Tribolium castaneum: one gene and its partners. The protein of the gene in region 1 interacts with the protein of each later gene in a pairwise test. Links are inferred from orthologs where the notes say so. Each region holds a gene or a part of one and is shown in the gene's direction. Other genes may lie near its edges. The genes, in order: SCAR, Prosbeta6 and CCDC53.

Region 1 (4,276 bases):
CCATGACGTTTAATTGAAATTAGATCACCTCCAGCATTCGCCAAAAGAGTGGCAGAGCTTCTTCTGAAGCAGTGACCAGTATATTTTTTAGGTTCGTCTTTGTTAAGCCACTTTGCAATCAAACTTGGTATCTCTCCGATTTTGTTAATTCCAACATTTTGATTCACACATTTTCCGTTGGTATACTTTAAAAATAAACGGTCACTAGTCGCCCGTGGAGGCCGCAAAGCTCTATATTTTCTGACAATTTCTATATTTTCTAAATTTGAAACAGTAAATATTCGTTCGCAGTGGGTTTTTGTATCAGGCACCTTCACAATTAAGACAGACTGTTTATCTTCTATGTCAGTTAGCTTCATTTTAACTAATTCTTCACGTCGAAGGGCTCCCGATATACCCAAAATTAGCACAGTCTATAAATAAAACGAGTTGTTTTGATTTGTATTACACTAATATGATAAGTTTACCTTCATCAGTAAATATATCTTGTCATCTGCTTCATTAATAAACTTGCTAATGTCTTCTTTGTCTAAAATTTGCGACTTCTTGCTTCTGTAACCTACGCTTTTGCTTTTCAGGTAGGGCACTAACTTCGGAAACTTACGTGTATCGATATTCTCTTTAACGTTTAAGGTGGCTTTCAACATCGCATAAAGGGCCCAGAGTGTTGGTGGCTTTAAGGTGGTAGACTTTTCTTCCAAATACGCCAACAAAACATTTTCCGTTACTTGATCAATCTTTTTCATAGAACACCACTGCCGAAACTGAAGATACGTTTTTTCGTACTGCGGTCTTGATTTAGCAGGCAAAAGATTCGACACTGCCGCGCTTGCAATTGCATCTATTTCGTTTTCGCTGCTAAAATCCATCACACTTCTTCAACAAAAATACCTATTGTGACAAATTTTTCGCAACTATCACTTTTATTTATCATCGTAACCATGCAAGCAACTCGATTTATCAGACCATTTTGTTCCAACTAATTTCTGTTACTTTTTTCTTCATCTGGAGGCTGTAGAAAAAACGTTGTTTGTATTTCGTGGCGAAATTCATGTTTTAATGGCGCCTTCGAATGTCTTTTAGGTCTCGACCTGGCGGTCTCGACTAAAATAACATTCTCAGGCGCCATTAAAAAAACACTCATTTCGCGCACTTAATACAAAAATTACTATTATTTTATAAATATAATAATTTAAGAAAAACAGTTTTTTATTACATAACGTTGCCAACACAAAAATCCCCAGTACGTTCCGCACGCCACTGGTAATTCCCCCAAATAAACATCAAGTGTCGAGCAATGACACCCTCATTCGCACAAAAATGTATTAAAATGAGGGTTTTCCCTCGCACGCCCCAATTTTATTTATTTTATCCCCAAAGTGGCCGCAATATTGATTGACGCGACGCCGCTGCTGTTGGTGATTTTCGCTCCGTGGGTGTGGCAGTCCTGCTCAATCGTGTTTGTTGGGTGTACCGCTTCGCCATTTTCTGCGATATTTATTAAATTATCGCCGTTTTTAACGAAACAATTAGTGTCGTGTGTGCAAAAACATGTGTGGCAACGTTTGCGCCCCCCAGTGAGTGTCCCAGACCATGCCGAGGTAAGAAATGGGCGGAAATCTCGACTCCTGCTAGTTGGCCTTTCCCCTTTCTATTTGACATTTTCTGCGAGAAATTGCCCCAAAATCTGGCCGTTTGCGGTGTCTGTTCGCGTAATTGCGACAAATGACTTGACCTTGCAGCTTGTGTTTGCTCATATTTGTTAAATGGGGCGTATGTGGCCCCCTAATGACTCACTTCCTTGTTGGAGACAGTATTGATGAGAGCGAAGCCAGTTTGGGGCACTTCCTGCCACGCTTTAGTTTATTAATTGGCGGTTAATAACCTTCACAGATGTCTTTCGCACGTCATGCACTAATTTATTTATTTCCATAAAGCGGTAACATATGGTGACGAAAACGGGAAACAGAGATTTAACCTTTTTTCTTCAAGAAATGTTGAAACGGTTTAGTTTTCACTTCTGTAGCGGTGCGTTTCAAAGTTCAATTGGTGAACGATTGCATTTTTTAAACGGAATTGATGTAATCACGTGTGATTCTGTTAAAATTTAAAGGGCACTTATTATTAGAAATGAGAAATCCAATAATTGGATTGGTTGTCGTCATAGTTACTGATTTTTTCGTCCTTCAACCCCTAAAATAACAATAACACAAAGGTCTACTACATTTGGGAAAGGTGAAGGAATACTTAAAATTAAATCACGCTAATCAGTTATGATAATTGTTTACTAAAGTGAGAATTGTTAAAAATCGATGTTTCTGTAATAAATGAATTGAAAACAAAAAAACGAGGTCAAAAACGCAATTTTTTCTAACTAATTTGCAAAAAATCATTCATTTTACATTTAATGGTTATTTTATTATAAATACTGTATTTTTATATCGGCATAACGACATATTATTGATGACCTTCGATGGAAATGTGATATTCTTCTAATTAAATTTTAAATAACTATTTTCTCAAAAATTAGGATATTATTCAGTTTAGAACTTAAGGGAGTGGCTTCCCTGATAAAAATTTACGTCGAAATTCTCTCAAAAATGTACTGCTTTATCTAGTGTAAATACTTAAAACAGGAATAATACTCCCAAGGTCTGAAGTGTTAATAGTATTTTGATGAATCATGGTTGTAATATTTTTCAGGTGTATTTAGGTGTTCCATATTCATATCTACTCTACACACATGTCTTGTCACACAAGTTTTTATCACATCTAGGGAACAACCAATTGATTCATATTCTTTATGAGCATTTAAATGATTTCAAAACACTGCCAAAAGTTTTGAATGTAATCAACAGAAGAAATTGAAAATCGATTTTTGCAAAATTATTTTTCATTAAATAATACCACACCCCTTTTTTTATTTATTTGTCCCAATAAGTATGATTAAAGGATTAAAGCCATACACAAAATTTTTGCAAAATCTAATCTATTAGAAAGCGTCTAAATGAAACTGTAGTCAGGGGAGCCCTGAAAATTTTATGAACATCTTCTAATCTTCTGTAACTTACGTTAAATATTGATTATAACCAAATTTTTTCTGAAAAAATTAACATTAACATTTTATTTTTTGACGATTTTTTTTACAAAAATAAAATAGACAACCAAATTATTGTGTAATAAAACGATTAAAAAAGCAAGAATAACACTAATTATGACATATTTGATGCGTTCCACAATAAAAAACATCCCAAAAAGCAAAAAAAGTAATTTTCAAGTTAAATTATTCATTTTTTGACCCATTTCATTAGAAAAGCTGAATTTAGAAACGTTTTAAAAGCAAAGCACCCATTACAATTTTTGACTTGATTTCCAAATGTCTGTGATTTCTATTGACAAGATCTCACAAAAAAGCTAAGTGTTTAGCTTAAAAACGATCTAACATGCTAAAAGAATATGCGAACACTGATTTCGATCTGCAAAAATAGTCATTTTAGATTTAAATTTGTATTGTTTAGACCCGCTTTAGCAAAATCTTTGAAAAAAAACTAAATTTAGAAACGTTTCAAAACAAATATAACGAAATTTTCGATTTGGTTTCATTATTTTTCTGGTTTCTAGCGCAAAATCATTACGTTTTTTAATATGATTCATCTAAATCTTGCTCTAAAAAGATCCAAAACGCTAAAAAAAACAAACATTACACTAATTTTGAACTGTATCAATGATTTTTTGGCTTTATTTTGGAAATTTTGCAAAATAAAGCATTTCTATGTGAAAAACGCCGTAAAAAAGTGAAAATGGAATCATTTTCAAGATAATTTTGTGTTTTTTGGCCGGTTTCAGCAAAACCTTGCAAAATAAACGTTTCCAAACGTTTTAAAAACTCAAAAAAACAAAAATAAGACGATTTTTTTCTTTTTTTTTAATTTCCATGATTTATATTGGAAAGATATGCCAATTTTGAGGTGTTTTAAAGGCTTTTGGCTTATTTTTGACAAAATTTCGTTAATAATTGTTTTTCAGAGTTATTTCGGATTAAGTAACTAATCTTTTGAAACAATATGAATTTTTTGCCAAAAAACAAAAATCTAAAGTTTTCGAAAAAAAGCAAAAGTAACAAACTTTGACTTATTTTAATAATTTTGCGGTGTATTTTTGACGAAATCACATTAAAAAATGCGTTTCTGATTGAAAATAGTACTACTATTATGGTTTTACAAAATGTTCATTGTGAAACCGAAAGTGGTTTCACAAAGAAAACTTTTATGCAATT
Region 2 (2,862 bases), on another chromosome or scaffold:
CTGTAAAGCATCAGTTGGTTTCACAAAATATTGCTTTCTTCATAGTCATTAGTCATTACATAAACATCTATTTTGATATGTCAGTATTTATTTCAATATTGGGATGATAAATTTATAAATAATATCGGGAACCATAAAATACTGTGAAAAAATCTATTAGCAATGTTGAACCGTTTGAAATTGATAGTTAAGTTTGCCAAAGGAATATTTAACTGAACAACAAATGATTTTTTTAGAGACATTTAAAGTTTTTCAAAAATCAAAAACAAAAAGTCGTAGAGTAAAATGGTTTGTTCCAGTAAATTTTGCGGCTCATACTACGTATCAGTTTTTCACGAGAATTCAAATTTTGATTTTTTTTGCTTAAAAATTTATTATTTTTTTAAACTCACTCTAGGAAAGCTTATGGACTTTTCTATGCCTTTATAACTCACTCGGGTTGTTAAAAGTATAAAAAATGTCAATAGGTTCTTAAAGTTTGAGTTTTTTAATTTTTGCGAAATTTTCTCGATTTTCGGTACCCGGAACATTAATCAAGCAGTAACACCGGAACTATTTGAGATAACCATATGGTCTAATTTATTATCGTTAGAAAGCTCTTTTATCTATATTTTTCAAAAAAAGATGATATTGTTCTCCGGCTAAGAGTTTTCGAAGAAAATTGCGAATAAAAGCAAAAATAGAAAAAATAAAAAAAATCATAAGTAAAAAGCTATTGGAAGTTTGGTGATTTTCTTGACGTCGATTGATTTCCAGGATCATTTTACACAGGCTTAGACCAAAATAATTTAGAAAATAGAAAAATAAAAATAAATAAATTATTTTTTAGTTTTTTTATGATTTTTTCATCTCTGTTGTTAATTTCATCCTCATCAAATAAATTTTTATTGTAAGAAAAGGTAACTGGTTTAGTATTAAAATTATCGTATCGGAGTCAATTTTTTTAAGTTTTAATTAAGATAAATTAATATCATCCACATTAAATAATAAGTCTTTAATTTAAAAGGTTAGCTTTAATTTAGTTTTTAAATTGTCATATCTGTACCAAATGTTTTTTAAGTTTTAAGGTAAATGTAATAAAGTTAATGTAATAAATGTTGTTAATTTCAACCCCATTAAAAATAAATCTTTAATCAAAAGAGTAATTTTTGGTTTAATTTTTAAATAATCGTGTAATACAAATATTTATAAGTGTAATAAATTAGTCGTTATACGTTTAATTATGTTTTTTTTTCACATATTTATCGTAAGTTCGGCGGTGTACCTAAACTAAAAAAATTTGGCGCTGCATGTTATTTTTAAAATATTTATTATAGGCAACCATTTATACAAATACCAAATTCGAGCCGACGCACATTCTTTACTCCATGCCTGGTCTGAAAAGTAGTAAAAAATAGCCTTTTTTGTAAGAAACACGTTTACGACTAAAATTTTGATGATTGTGATTTATTTAAGTATAATTTGTTGGTTTTGTAACGATTCAACCGTGTACGATTTCGGTCGCTTCCATATTTGACATCTGACATCTTATTTTGTGTTGTCATTCAATTCGAGTAAGTGTTAATACGAAATGGCTTTATTACACTCCGAAAACCGCCCCAATTACCCCGACTATGCTACAGCCCCCACACAGCACCACTTCAGCCCCTATGCCGACAACGGAGGGTAAGCATTCCTCACATTAAACCCCTCCCTACAGCCCCTTTTGTAGGAGTGTGGTTGCAATCGCCGGCGACGATTTCGTGGTAATAGGCGCTGACACCCGTCTCAGTGCCGGTTTTTCAATTTACACCCGTGACCAGAATAAATTGTTCCGTTTATCGGACACTACAGTACTGGGATGTTCGGGTTGTTGGTGCGACACTCTCACCCTGACCCGCATTTTGAGCGCTCGCATGCAAATGTACCAACAGGAGCATAATAAAACCATGGCCACACCGGCTTGTGCCCAAATGCTATCAACCATGTTGTACTACAAGCGGTTTTTCCCATACTACATTTCTAATATTCTCGTTGGATTGGATAATGAAGGGAAAGGGTGCATTTATAGCTACGATCCGATTGGACATTGCGAGAAAACCACGTATAGGGCTGGGGGCTCCGCGGGGGCCCTCCTACAACCGCTTTTGGACAATCAAATTGGCTTGAAAAATATGCAAAACGTCAAGGATTCTAAATTAACGTTGGAGAGAGCAGCTGCCATCATCAAAGACGTTTTTATTTCAGCCGCTGAGAGAGATATTTTCACAGGGGATAGCATTTTGATTAACATCATCACCAAGGATGGTATTAAGGAAGATAGTTTTCAATTGAGGAAAGATTAAATTGGTGTTTTTTTTGCTTAATAAATCAGTGTTTGGTATTGATTGTTTTATTTAACAAATATTTCGGTAAAGGAATTCTAATTCTACCACATACAATAATCTAAAAAAATTATAACAAATAGGTCACACTCAAATATCTAAACATTCGAATTATTACTTTGACGTGATGATTGAACCACGGCTTCCTTGATCAATGAGGGACACGGCTTAACGTGGCGCCATCTGTTAGTCAACAATTGGTTGCCATGGTTATTACCACCTAACTAGTGTTGCCAGACCTATTGATTTTTCGGTAGACCTAAATCAGTTTGAAAATATTTACACTACAGTATAGATTTAAAAAAATGTTGAATTTTTATATACTTTAAAATAACACGATAATGATACGAACTGCAAAGGCCCCTGCGTTTCCACGTAGAGTTTTGACTAAAGGGCATTTTTCGAGTTTGCAATAAAGGCACAATAAGCGGGGAATACATTAAATTGGGTTTTAATGAAAAATAAGTCTCAAAATGACCATAATGTCTAAAGTAACTTG
Region 3 (4,098 bases), on another chromosome or scaffold:
ATCAATGGGGCTGTGATCGGAATTATTACACAAAGTTATACAATTTTAAGTGTGTTGATGTTCAATTGTTTGGAAAGTTTAAAGGTAGATTGTTAGTGTTTTCTAAAGGCTTTATATCTTTATATCAGCTGAAGTATTAAAGTTTTTTACAAGTAAACAGTCTTTCATTGCGTCATAAGCTGCAGCCAACTGTCACCGGAATTAAGGTACATGAATGTTTTGCATGATTTTTTCTTATAACTTGTTTTGTTTTATTAATTGGTTGAGCTTATGTTGGCTAACAATTGGTTTGTTTAGTAGTTTTGCGTGATTTTAAGTTAATTTGTGATTTGGCCAATTTATTAATGATTTTTTGTTAGGGACGCACCAACCCTTCCTACTCAACATTCCATCCGAAGGCATTAAAGTCGAGCCCAGAGGTAATTTAATTTTATATTTTTCCCCGCTTTAGTGTTTTTTTCTAGATAAGGCGCCTTCGCCGTACGGCGGGCAGATGTTCGAGGCGCCCATCCCGAACGTGTCGCCCCATTACGTGGCCCCCACGCCCCCGGAAGCCCCTCTGTTCCAGAACGTGCTTCCGCCAATCGGAGGCATGATGAACTGGAATATGCCTTCGACTTCAGTAGTCGGCGATATGTTAAACATGAATTGGAATCCTTCCGCCCAAAATGATCTCAGTGGTGTTAATTTAAGTGAAACGCCAAGTGGTATAAGCAGTTTATTAAATCTGGACAATCAACAATTGGAGTTGAAACCGATTGACTTAAACTCGGGTGATTTAAGCATGCTTGAGACAAATAACTTGTCAGAGACTTTCACCCAAAATCTATCGCTTATGGACGAGAGTGAGGGGCGCCAGGAGCCGAATATGACTGATAGTTTAACGCGATTGGCCAATAGCGCGCTAGATAATATTTGCCAAGCTAGTGATATGTACAAGGGTGCTCCATGAAACCACCATTACTTAAGTCTAAGTAATGCAAAAGCGAGTTCAATATTTGACATTAAATATAACAGTACTGTGTACCGCCCTAAATTCAATGATAGTTTTCTTATAAAATTGTTAAGGTTTGTAGTTTAGTCTATATCAAGTTTATTTATACTGTGATTGTTTTTATATTTTACAAGATGCAATGTTATTTTATAAATCTGGCATAATAAATCTGTTTTATTGAGCGTGTTTGCGTTTGTTAATTGCATAAAAAGCGATCCTTTCGCCACAATCTAACCTCAAACGTCACTTTTGACAGCTGTCACTCAGGTTCTTTGTGTCCCTTTGGAGCCAATTAATTCAATAAACTTGTGCCGATGCCTTGATTCCCCCTAATTTTGAGTGTTTTTCACTCAGATAATGTAAATAATGCAAGTGAACGACCTTTCCTCAATTGATCCAAATGTGGATTACACGCAGGTAAGTCTTTGAAAAAAGCGACCCATTCGAGCAACAATCACGTCCAACTTCTCCACTTAGATTTTACCCATTCAACAAAAGCGCACGATTGCTTTTATCAATCATTTCGTAATGAATACGGTGTCGTTTTTAAACCATTTTGCACAGTCGTGTGAATCGCGTTTGATGGAATTCGAGTACAAACTGCAAGAAGTTGAGGCTTCTTTACTTATACTTGAGTCGCAAGTAAGTATTGAACAATGCTAGAATGCCTTAAGTTCCGATTATTTGGCGCAAAAGTGAGTCGGTTGTGTTAGTTAGGTTCAATTGCGCATTTAGAAGAAAACACTGCAAAGGACTCGCCTAAACAAAACGATTTAGATCTGCCTCCTGTTAAAGACGAGGAGACGCAAATTGAAAAAAATGTAGAGGTAGAGCCTGATGTTGCGTCAGACCCGCGATATCAACGCTTTTTCAAAATGTTGCAATTTGGGGTTCCCCCAGCTGCTGTCAAGCTGAAAATGCAAACAGAGGGACTTGACCCTTGCATATTGGAGTAAGTACTACTATCACTGGCGAATCAGCAACACGTCCGTTATTTTTTAGTTCCAAATCAACTGATACGCAAGACAGTTCCTCGGTTAATTAATTGTGTTAAAAAAACATTGTTAAAAGTATAAATAAAACACGTTATGAATTTTTACAAAATGTGTTTATTTAGTCAAACAATTAGAACTGAATCATTTGTCCCTTGCGCTTCTTGTCGCCACCCAATTCAAAGTGCTTGCAGCGTTTCAAGGGAATCTGTTTCCTATATTTACATTCAGTGCATTCCATCCTGAGCACGATTTTCTTGGTGGTTTTAGCCTAAAAACACACAATAGCCCCACACTCAAAGTAGGTAAAAAAATACCTTCTTCCTGAAGATGGGCTTGGTTTGTCCACCGAAACCTTGCTGCTTCCTGTCGTAACGTCTCCTACCTTGCGAAGCGTGACGTTCCTTGGACTTTTTGTATTGGGTGACTTTGTGCAACTTGTGCACCTTGCATTTCTTGCAGAAGGTGCGCCTCTGCTTCGGGACGTTAACCTAAAAACAATGACATAACCCCACAATTCATCAAACGTCCTCAAAACGCGAAAATAAACAGGAATGTGCCCTTCCAAGGACGCCAAATGCACGAATTCGCTAAATTTTCGGTAATTCAAAGGCCGATTATTGCGATTTTTTGAGATATTTGATTGAAAACCTGCTTACCATCTTGGGATTTTCTTTATTGCAAAAAAAAGAGAGAGATGCAACGTGTCACACTATGCGCATGCGTCGTTTACATTGGCGCGAATTTTGAATTGCTATATTGGATGAAAGATAGAAAAGTGTTTCGTTATAAGTTTATAGAGTTTTAATTCGTTTCACGTGGTCGCAAGGAAAAATAGAAGAAAAAGTTTTTAAGACGCATTTTTGCGGCCACAAGGGAAAGGCGTTTTAATTAGTGGGTAACAAGTCGTGCCGAATAGTTCCCTTTTAAATTGAGTCAATAATCGGCTGTTTTTCTGCATAATAATAAAATGAATGTGATTGTGGAGGGAAATTTTTTGAAGAGCGCCCCTGGCGGTGGCATACTCAAACCACGTTTTTAATCTCGGTCCGGTTCGTAAAACTCAATCCGTGCTCTCGGAACCCTCATGAGCAAACACCTTGCAATTAATTTCATAAAATCTGGCGCACGTTTTTTGGGTCCGAGACACCGAAAAAGCTTGGAATTTGTTGTCTTTTGGTTTTTGGCGGTTGGTGTGAATAAATAGTTTAGGGAGTCGAAAGCCGGTCACTCGTCCAAGTCCGGGGCCGATCGGTTTGAGCGGCGCCATCTTAATTTTTGAACAAAGCTAACGAGTAGCCGGTCAGTAGTGTTCAACGTTGGTGAACGTCACTTTTCGATAAAGCGTGAAACCCACACAGGAATATAAACAAAATGAGTTCGAAAGAAAATAACGAAGTTGCTGTCGAAAAAATCGACAACGACAAAAGTGCGCCCGACGCCAAATGCGAGTTAAAAGGCACGAAGCGAGCGGCGGAGGTGAGTTCGACTGTTTCTTTCGCATTTACGCTGCTTTGCGATAAGGTCACATGGCCGTTGGATGTTGTGGTCGGGATTTTCGCGTGGAAAACGCGCGGAAACGCCGTTTTCACGCGTTTTCCGCGGGATGGTTGCCATGTGAACGGGGCTTTTTCCCGGCGCGGAGGCGGCTTTGCGACAATACGATGCTAAATTTGTTGTTGCCATGGTGTTTTCGACTGTTTTTCATTATGGCATGCGGTGTAAACACGCTTGGAAAGCATCCCGCCATATACAATGGACCCCGGGTTGAGGCTAGCATCGCTTGCTCGATTCAATATGGCGAAATCAATAGCAACTTGGAGGCGTCCTCGTGCGAGGCTAGATGCCACACTAATATTTTAATAACATCGGATTCTAGAAAGATTTCCGCGTGCGAGTTGACGATTTCGTTGCAAATTTCACGATAACCCGGAGATTGACCACTTTGGTCCGGTTTTTCAATGCAAAGCGTCTCATAAAGCTCGCTGGAATCAACAGAGTTGGACATTTTTGATGCTACGCTAACGAGTGGCAAAGATTAAGATCCATCATGGATCAGAATTGTGAATGAAAAGAGCGTTTTTAGTTAGTTTGCTTGTTTATTTCCATTTT

The links.
Region 2: the proteins of SCAR (region 1) and Prosbeta6 interact in a two-hybrid assay, tested with the Caenorhabditis elegans proteins (3 studies listed by BioGRID). The link is inferred for Tribolium castaneum from reciprocal best matches to the Caenorhabditis elegans genes wve-1 and pbs-6.
Region 3: the proteins of SCAR (region 1) and CCDC53 interact in a two-hybrid assay, tested with the Caenorhabditis elegans proteins (2 studies listed by BioGRID). The link is inferred for Tribolium castaneum from reciprocal best matches to the Caenorhabditis elegans genes wve-1 and ddl-1.

Annotation. Positions count from the first base shown.
Region 1 is NC_087399.1:10,151,473-10,155,748, reverse strand, and holds the start of SCAR (actin-binding protein WASF3), read left to right. Parts: upstream 1-1,441; 5' UTR 1,442-1,601; intron 1,602-4,276. Other genes in the region: uncharacterized protein LOC107398411, read right to left, coding at 1-413, 468-869.
Region 2 is NC_087394.1:25,341,564-25,344,425, reverse strand, and holds Prosbeta6 (proteasome subunit beta type-1), read left to right. Parts: upstream 1-1,446; 5' UTR 1,447-1,570; coding exon 1,571-1,665; intron 1,666-1,711; coding exon 1,712-2,324; 3' UTR 2,325-2,362; downstream 2,363-2,862. UniProt on the Caenorhabditis elegans protein: Non-catalytic component of the proteasome, a multicatalytic proteinase complex which is characterized by its ability to cleave peptides with Arg, Phe, Tyr, Leu, and Glu adjacent to the leaving group at neutral or slightly basic pH.
Region 3 is NC_087402.1:711,054-715,151, reverse strand, and holds CCDC53 (WASH complex subunit 3), read left to right. Parts: upstream 1-1,229; 5' UTR 1,230-1,360; coding exon 1,361-1,411; intron 1,412-1,471; coding exon 1,472-1,636; intron 1,637-1,707; coding exon 1,708-1,946; intron 1,947-1,996; coding exon 1,997-2,039; 3' UTR 2,040-2,119; coding exon of another isoform or gene 2,120-2,257; 3' UTR 2,258-2,303; coding exon of another isoform or gene 2,304-2,477; 3' UTR 2,478-2,645; coding exon of another isoform or gene 2,646-2,648; 3' UTR 2,649-3,360; coding exon of another isoform or gene 3,361-3,465; 3' UTR 3,466-3,466; downstream 3,467-4,098. Other genes in the region: RpL36A (large ribosomal subunit protein eL42), read right to left, coding at 2,120-2,257, 2,304-2,477, 2,646-2,648; acidic leucine-rich nuclear phosphoprotein 32 family member B, read left to right, coding at 3,361-3,465. UniProt on the Caenorhabditis elegans protein: Acts as a component of the WASH core complex that functions as a nucleation-promoting factor (NPF) at the surface of endosomes, where it recruits and activates the Arp2/3 complex to induce actin polymerization, playing a key role in the fission of tubules that serve as transport intermediates during endosome sorting.